Linked DNA regions of Drosophila melanogaster. The gene in region 1 interacts genetically with each later gene. Each region holds a gene or a part of one and is shown on either strand. Other genes may lie near its edges.

What was found.
Region 2: of RpL14 (region 1) and pix, changing one enhances a phenotype caused by changing the other (phenotypic enhancement), as found in Drosophila melanogaster (one study listed by BioGRID).

Annotation. Positions count from the first base shown.
Region 1 is NT_037436.4:8,599,460-8,603,191, forward strand, and holds RpL14 (ribosomal protein L14), read left to right. Parts: upstream 1-1,546; 5' UTR 1,547-1,575; coding exon 1,576-1,578; intron 1,579-1,854; coding exon 1,855-1,956; intron 1,957-2,013; exon of another isoform or gene 2,014-2,093; intron 2,094-2,188; coding exon 2,189-2,383; intron 2,384-2,488; exon of another isoform or gene 2,489-2,572; intron 2,573-2,643; coding exon 2,644-2,844; 3' UTR 2,845-2,933; downstream 2,934-3,732. Other genes in the region: Nelf-E (negative elongation factor E), read right to left, coding at 231-307, 372-538, 628-1,145, 1,204-1,284; CG5989 (uncharacterized protein), read right to left, coding at 3,056-3,394, 3,456-3,732.
Region 2 is NT_037436.4:8,971,242-8,976,303, reverse strand, and holds pix (pixie), read left to right. Parts: upstream 1-1,538; 5' UTR 1,539-1,647; intron 1,648-1,886; exon of another isoform or gene 1,887-1,956; 5' UTR 1,957-1,957; coding exon 1,958-2,170; intron 2,171-2,232; coding exon 2,233-2,843; intron 2,844-2,902; coding exon 2,903-3,619; intron 3,620-3,676; coding exon 3,677-3,971; 3' UTR 3,972-4,248; downstream 4,249-5,062. Other genes in the region: Srp68 (signal recognition particle 68), read right to left, coding at 1-567, 630-979, 1,084-1,180. UniProt on the Drosophila melanogaster protein: Plays a role in translation initiation and quality control of translation. Together with pelo and HBS1, is required for 48S complex formation from 80S ribosomes and dissociation of vacant 80S ribosomes.

The DNA.
Region 1 (3,732 bases):
TTGTTTAATTTAGATCAAAACGTAGGAATTAATATACAAAACATACAATCTTTTTCATTGAATTCATTTGAACGTTATAACTTGAAATGCGAGTACTTAGCCAGAAAGTGAACATATATATAGAAGCGTATTTTCAATAAAGCAAAATTATTTAAAATAAACTGAAATGTGTTCTGTTACTAAGGGATAAAGTAAGTAGAAAGCTAAACGTAGAAACTAATTATTGCGCTCTAGAGCAAGAAGTCTTCATCGTATTGAACCATCTCGCGGTGGTCCTTGTGGCTACCCTTTTGTGATTTGCTGGCGGCTATTTGGGGAGTACATAAGGTTTGATTTCGTTTTTAAGTTATAGAGAAACACTGAGCACTTACCAATAGATGACCAGACTGCCGACGAGGAGGCATCGTTAATGGGCTCAATCTGGGGCTGGCGTCTAGCCAACTGCACCTGCAAGTTGATGCCATTCACATTCTTGCCATGAATCTCCGCAATGGCGCGATCTGCCGACTCGGGTTTGGCGAAGGAAACAAAGCCGCGACTGCAAGGCCATACAGGATAAATTTATAATTTCTCCAGTTGGGAAAATATATATGTAAGCTATAACATGGACTTTCCATGTTCACTTACCTCTTTTCGATCTCCATGGAGACATTGACAATGGTGCCGTAGTCGTTGAATGTCTTTTTTAAGAAATCCTCGGTGACCTTGTTGCCGGACACGAAGATGGTATTGCCGGCCCGTGGCTTCTCTGGCTGCGCTGTGTCCATGGGCACCTTCTCGGGCATGCCGCGCTCCTCTCGATCCCGCTCGGTGGCGAAGTGTTGGTAGAGATTCTGTCGACGCGGCTCCTCCTTAATGATCTCACTAATGATCGTCTCCTGGGCCACGTCGTTCTGCGTAGACGAAAAGGGCTGGTAGGAGGCAACAGTGGTTTCCGAGGTGGAGCGCTTGGCTCTTTCCTGTCCTTTGGGCCGCTTGAAGGAGGTTTGATCTTGCTTGGTCTGCTTCTGGATGGCGGGAATGGCGCCGCTTTTGATTAGTTTCCTGGCCACTTCACGGGCATCTCGCGCATCCGTGGGACGCTTCAAGGTCAAGGAGCTCTCCGGCTCCGGCTTGGGCGCCTTGTGCGCTTGCAGTGCCTTTTTCTACGGGTTAAAAACTTGTTAATATAAATAATCACATTTGTGGCATGAGTTTTCCCACCTTTTTCTTGAGTTTCTGATACTTGGCCTGCAGCATTTGCTCCTCTTCGGTTAAATTGTTGGGGAAGTGTATGTAAACCATGTTGGGAAAATGTCTGCTTGAAATTAACCCCGTAAAAAGTAACTTCTACAAAAGTAATTATGTTATTCCAAAATGTTTATTTTTACTATCGAAATCTATCGAATTGGCTTAGTGTGACTGTAACAGTTGATAGCGAAAAATACCACATAAGATGTGTATGATTTACTGTCACATTAACTATTTCTGCACAACACTAGACCACATGCAACTCTGTGTTTAGCAACACTAACGCCATGCTACCACCGAGCTGTCAAAAAAGTTCTTTCCTTCTCTTTCTTTCCGGTTAGCGTCATGGTAAGAATCGACGAAGGTTTCTGCGGATCGGTTGAAAAATGTGAAAATTCAGCGGTCTAAATGGCCCGAGATGAATTAAATTTGGCGGCCAAGCGAACGGGTCAGTGCGTTGAACGTGTGAATAGCGAAAGCAGCGTAAAAGCGTTGGAAAACCATGGGATATCCAACATTCAAATAGTTCACGTGGTGGTCACCAACACAAGCAACGCGCTGGCCATGCAACAACCGAAATCCAACATTTTCACCCATTTTTAATGGACTTCTCTCTGTTTGCAGCCTTTCGAGAGATTCGTACAAACTGGTCGCATTGCCAAGGCCTCCGCCGGTCCCCTGAAGGGGCGCCTGGTGGCCATTGTCGACGTCATTGACCAAAACAGAGTAAGTGCATCATTCCATAGTGGAGTAACAGCAACAAATTGCCAAGTGACGAGCTCTTGCACATGATGATAATTTGTCTTCTTGATAGGAAGTGCCAACTGACACATAAATGAAGCTAGTTTAACCCTCTGAAAGCAAGCAAGCAAAACCAGCATTTGTTGCTGTACTCCTCCCTTCATGGCCATACATGGTTAAAGTGATCCAAACTAATTAATGGCTTTTCACTTTTCAGGTTCTGGTAGATGGTCCTCTGACTGGCGTGCCCCGTCAGGAATACAGATTGAACAATCTGCATCTGACCAAGTACCGCATCAAGTTCCCCTACACCGCGCCCACGCGCATCGTGCGCAAGGCCTGGACAGAGAGCGACCTGAAGGCCCAGTGGAAGGTCAGCCCCTGGTCCGTCAAGGCACAGAACATCTGCAAGGTATGTACACTGAGCACGAGGAGGATTCGTAGCTGTAGGAAAGTTTACCTATGTAGAGGGGAAAATGTTATACCTCTTCTCTGCCTAGTTGATTACCTCCTTGAACTGCACATGATGATAATTGAAAGTTCTTGATAGGAATTGCCGGCTGACACATATATGAAGCTAATTCTAGTTTATCTGATTACAATCATAGCTAGGCGTCTTCATAAACATTCAGAATAAATCAAGTACTAATGAGAATTTGTCTTCTTTTGCAGCGCTCCTCGTTGAACGACTTTGACCGCTTCAAGCTGCGTTATGCCAAGCGTCAGCGCAACAAGCTGCTGACCATCGCCTTCAACACACTGAAGAAGCGCACCAAGGCTGACGGCACTCCCCGCGTCCTCAAGAAGGATCGTCGCGAGCGTCTGCGTGCCGAGAAGGCCAAGGGTGGCAAGAAGGCCGCGGCCAAGAAGTAAAAAATACTACCTTTAACGAAAGTAACTGCTTGATGAACATCCACCACCATGGAGAAAATAAAAGAAAGTGTTATTTTTAGGAAAAACACAAGCACACTGCCAGCTTTCTTTTGGTTTAACGGTTTTATTTGCTCTCAAGAAACAAAATGATCTTAACAGTCCAATCTTTAAAGCACAGTCTACCAAATAGCTAACGACCAGAGGACCCCGCTCAAGTGGGGCACTTGCCGTAGATGGTCTTCCAGTTGTTGGGATGGTTGTAGCCCAGCAGGATGGGCAAGTGCAGGAACAGCGTGATATGTTCGCCTTGTATCGACGTGGACACCTTGACCCACTTCCGCAGCCACTCGATCATGGCCTCGCTGCTCAGGCTGTCGGGATTCAATCCGCGCAGATAGCAGGAGTAGCGCAAAGCATCCGGTGTCAGGTTGTGAACGCCACCCTCGCGGGTTATGGCCTGGTCCATGTAGTGCACCAGGAAGGCGTGCTCGTGGAGCCGATGTCGCTTGAAGATGCTACTGGGCAGTCCATGAAGGTTGACTAGGTTTCTCTGGAACGTATGCATTAGTGATATGCTTTAGGCTGCATAAAATGTGTCAGATTAAACGTACAACGTGCTTCCGCGACATTCCCAGCAGGGAATATGGTCCTTCGGCGAATATGTCTTTGACATCGATGAGCATCTCAGGCGTGGGGTGTGTGCCGCTGCCCAGCTGGCCCAGGATGTCAGCAAAAGCCGAGTGCTTGGGATGCGATGCCGTCGCTTTGAGCTTGTCCTGCAGGCAGCGAAAGACGTCCTTGTTATTGCATAATCGCCGCTTCATGTAGTAGCTCTGGAACTCGGAGCGCTGCTGCGGAGTCCAGAAATGGGCAGTGAGAAAGGAGCGG
Region 2 (5,062 bases), 370 kb from region 1:
GGTGGTTAACGAACGCAGCTTGGGATCCTGTTTGATTTCGTCGCGAACGGCCTGGATGGCATCCTTGCAGTCCATCAAAATACGCTCAATCAATTCTATCTTGGCATCCTGCTTGGTGGTCTTGGCCAGCGACTTGTCCAACTCCTGAGCACTGAGCAGGAACAAACGCACCTTCTCCGGACGCACGGTGACCTTGCGACCGCGCCAGTCGATCGTCTGCAGGCCCTCGCTGCTCTCCGTCTTTGTCTGACTGACCAGTACGTCAAGATTCTCAAGCACTCCCTGAGCGCGCAGCTCCAGGATCTCGTCGATCTTGCCGCCACTGGCGCCACCGCTGATGTTGTAGGCGCAGTAGCGCAGATTGGGCGTAAATTCATTAACCTTAGCGCGGTAAAGCTCTTGTTCATCTTCGGGCAGAGCCTTGCCCAGGTTTTCGTACACCACTTGGGCGCGCTTTAGGTGCTCGCCAGCGGTTTTCCATAGCTGCAGCTCAAAGTGCAGGGTTCCGTGCATCCAGGCAACATAGGCTTCGCACTCTAGCTTAGTGCGCGCATCGAAAGCCTCCGTCTACAAGAAAATTATAAATGAAGCTCAATAAACATTAATCATAACAGTGAGTTACAGCTTACATTACACAACTCCTGGAGCTGGAGGGCATAGAAACAGGCCCTGCGCAGCTTGTTGACCAGATGGAAACGCTTTCGCGGCTCCGTATTGGACTCCTGCTTGAGCTGCATGGCATACGCCCAGGCCCGCTCGGCGCAGATCAATGGGATGTGGATGAAACGCTCGTCCGCCTTCTTGCCTGTCAATTGGCCAATGGTCACGTCGCGTCTTTTGAAGTGCCGCTTGTCGCCCTGGGGGTACTTCAGGGCCTTCCTCAATCGACGGATGCGGCGGCTGCAGTATCCGCGGTACCTCTGGAAGTCGCCGTGGCGCAGGCCGTGTTGTTGCTGGGCATCCTTAATCATGTGCAGAACTGCAGCAGGAGTGAAAGTTCAGGGCATTAGCATTAAATTTTAGGTTAAATGGTTGGGCGTCTGGGCCACCTGGCAGTTGGCTGTAGGCGATTGGGGCACTTACTCTCCACCGTGAAGATCTTGGAGGGCTCTGCCACCGGAGCAGTCTCCGTCTTTTCCTGAACGTCCCCAGTATTTGGATTATCTTCTTGCACGACCATTTTCTTAGCAGTCGACACAAATCAACGACGTGTAAAAATTAGTGATTGCAATTCCAATGGGATTGTCAAAAACACTAAATAATCGATATTATTAAGAGCGGCTCTTGTGCGATATATATTTATATTTATTTATAGGATATATTATCAGTTCGGAAATTACATGTTCCTATATTGAGAGATAGAAGTTATAAATTTTATTTGATTGTCACTAAGCTTACTTTAAATAAAATCCCTGAAACATTATAAAACTTATGTTATGTAAAAATAACTGCACAAAACAATAAATAATTATAAACATGCTATACGAAATTCAAGCCCACTTATTGATATCGATAGTTTCAACGGCGCATCCCTATTCGTAGTAGTGTTGAGAAACTCATCAAAGCTCCCCCCTTTTGAAACTTGTTGGCTGACACGCAAGAGCGTGCGTTCTGTCTGTTTTACAACAATTTCGGCCAAGTTCGCAGGTAAATTTCAAATATTTCAGCACTCTGTCAACGTGAAATTTAAGAACAATGCCTGACGCATGAGAGACAATAGAAATTTATGGTGGAAACCCATTGTTTTGGCCACGCTTTGAGGTTATACTTTCACTCACTGACAAACGCTGGCACCTCACCCCCGCTCTTGTGTCCATGAATCGGTGCACCAGTTTTGTTTTGACGGTCGGGGATGGTGATTTGCAACGTTGACAATGGACTGATTATCATATAGGCGGCTGATTAGTGGATCGAAGCCAATTCTGTTTAATTTGCTCATTTGAAAACTATCAACAGCATGTCGCGCAGAAAGGAGAACGAGGAGGTGGACAAGCAGACGCGTATTGCCATCGTCAGCGATGACAAGTGCAAGCCCAAACGGTGTCGGCAGGAGTGCAAGAAGACCTGCCCAGTGGTGCGCATGGGCAAGCTCTGCATCGAGGTGACGCCCACGTCCAAGATAGCCTCGTTGTCCGAGGAGCTGTGCATCGGTTGCGGTATTTGCGTCAAGGTGGGTCAGCTTACCTACAACTGCTGTAGTTCCCGGAATAACCCGTGCTTTCAATTCCCCAGAAATGCCCCTTCGAGGCCATCACAATCATCAACTTGCCCAGCAATCTGGAGAAGCACACAACGCATCGATACAGCAAGAACTCCTTCAAGCTGCATCGTCTGCCCATTCCGCGTCCCGGTGAAGTGCTCGGTCTTGTGGGACAGAACGGTATTGGCAAGTCGACCGCTTTGAAGATCCTCGCGGGGAAACAAAAGCCGAACCTGGGGAAGTACGCCAATCCGCCCGACTGGACGGAGATCCTTAGCTACTTCCGCGGCTCCGAGCTGCAGAACTACTTCACCAAGATCTTGGAGGACAATCTGAAGGCGCTGGTCAAGCCGCAGTATGTGGATCAGATCCCCAAGGCGGTGCGTGGCGCTGTGGGCGATCTTCTGGATAAGAAGGACGAGAGGGAGCTGCAGACTAAGATTTGTGAAATGCTGGATCTATCGCACATCCGTGATCGTGAGATCGCTCAGCTTTCTGGCGGAGAACTGCAACGCTTTGCCATCGCCATGGTATGCATACAGAATGCAGACATCTTCATGTTCGACGAGCCGTCCTCGTATTTGGATGTTAAGCAGCGTCTGAACGCTGCCTTGACCATTCGATCACTCCTGCATCCCACCAAGTAAGTTGATGAATAATGTGCCATTGTTTAAAATTATGACGTGGTTCTGTAATATGCAGGTTTATTATTGTGGTGGAGCACGATTTGTCTGTGCTGGATTACTTGTCTGACTTTATATGCTGCCTTTACGGAGTTCCCGGCTGCTACGGTGTGGTTACTATGCCTTTCTCTGTGCGCGAAGGCATCAACATTTTCCTCGATGGCTTTGTGCCCACCGAAAACATGCGATTCCGCACTGAGTCACTTACTTTCAAAGTATCTGAGTCCGCTACGGAGGAGGAGATCAAGCGCATGAACCACTACGTATATCCCGCCATGGTCAAGACCCTGGGCAAGTTCGAGTTGACGGTGGAAAAGGGTCACTTCAGCGACTCCGAGATCCTGGTGCTCCTGGGCGAGAACGGTACAGGAAAGACGACGTTCATTCGCATGCTGGCCGGTAACCTCCAACCCGATGGCGAGGTGGAACTGCCTATGCTGAATATTTCCTACAAGCCCCAGAAGATTTCCCCGAAATTCCAAAATCATGTTCGCCATTTATTGCACGATAAGATTCGTGACGCCTACGTGCATCCTCAGTTTATTGCCGATGTTATGAAACCCATGAAAATTGAGGAAATCATGGACCAGGAGGTGCAGAACCTTTCCGGTGGTGAGTTGCAGCGAGTCGCCTTGGTCCTGTGTCTTGGCAAGCCAGCGGATGTCTACCTCATCGACGAACCCTCTGCCTACTTGGATTCAGAGCAGCGTCTGGTGGCCGCCAAGGTTATCAAACGGTATGTTTTACATAGACTTTAAATCTGCACACAAATATTGATGGTATCTCGTTTTAGTTACATTCTGCACGCCAAGAAAACTGGATTTGTGGTGGAGCACGATTTCATCATGGCCACCTACCTCGCCGACCGTGTCATCGTGATCGAGGGTCAGCCTTCAGTGAAGACGACAGCCTTTTCGCCGCAGTCGCTGCTAAATGGCATGAACCGCTTCCTCGAACTGCTTGGTATTACGTTCCGTCGCGATCCCAACAACTTCAGACCCCGCATTAACAAAAACAATTCGGTCAAGGACACAGAACAGAAACGCTCCGGCCAGTTCTTCTTCTTGGAGGACGAAGCCTGCAACTAAGACAGGATCACGGGCAACTTCGATGGGACAGCTCGTTTCTCTATGTTCTCCTCAGCTTTCCTTCGTTCATTTTGCATTCTTTCGTTGAAGAACACATTTGCTTTCAAATTAATTTGTTATTGTTGTCGAGGATTGCGTACAATCGAAAATTGGGGATTAATTGTACTTGATTAAAGTGAGTTTTATATACGTTTTTACAGCGAAATAAATAGTGAACCGAAACAACAGAATGTTGTTTTAAATGAGTCTAGCAAAAATAAACCAATTTTCTTTATACAAAACTGCATTTGAAAGTTCTTTTTTCTAAAGTGGTGCTCATAGAATCCTGCGAGTTTAAAAGAGCTAACGTTTGCAAATTAACACGTATTTATTGCACTTAAGCGATAATTACTCAAAATACGCACAATACAAATGTAAATTACATACAAATTTCTGTCATTTCAAATTTGATCACAATACGAAATCGACGCACAATGAATAACAGCTACAAACATTTATAAGTATATAATTTACAATATTTGTTTTTAGATATACCAACGCATGCACAGCATATTTTTAATGTAAACGCTTTTGAAGCTTTAAATTTATGCGATTTAATCAAATTTACATACAATTTTTCGAAAAAGGCAAATCTTTTGAGTTTATAATACTTAATTTGATCTGTGGCTTGTTGACCACTAAATAACTGACACAAGTAAGTACTATAAATAGGTAATTTTGGAGACTTATACGCTAAAAATTCCATAAAAGTAAATGCGTCAAAAATTGACCCAAATATTTGATAGTTGCATTGTGCTGTTTCGAATCCCAATCTGAGTCTGAGAGTAGAGAGCGTTTTACAAGGAGAGTTTTCTTACTGTTTTGCCGAACTTATGCAATAGAAGTATAGTTAGTAAAAATGGACACATGTATGTCTAAAATTGAGTGTTTCAGTTGATCCAAAAGCAGATCCTATGGTTTATCCAATAATTTAATTACCTTGTTTATTTTCTTTTTCCTTCAGCATAATTTCTTGTAAATGGAACTTTTAGTGACTTAACATTAGTTTTGCTATGTGCTTAAATAATTGTCGAAATCTTGCAACAGAACGT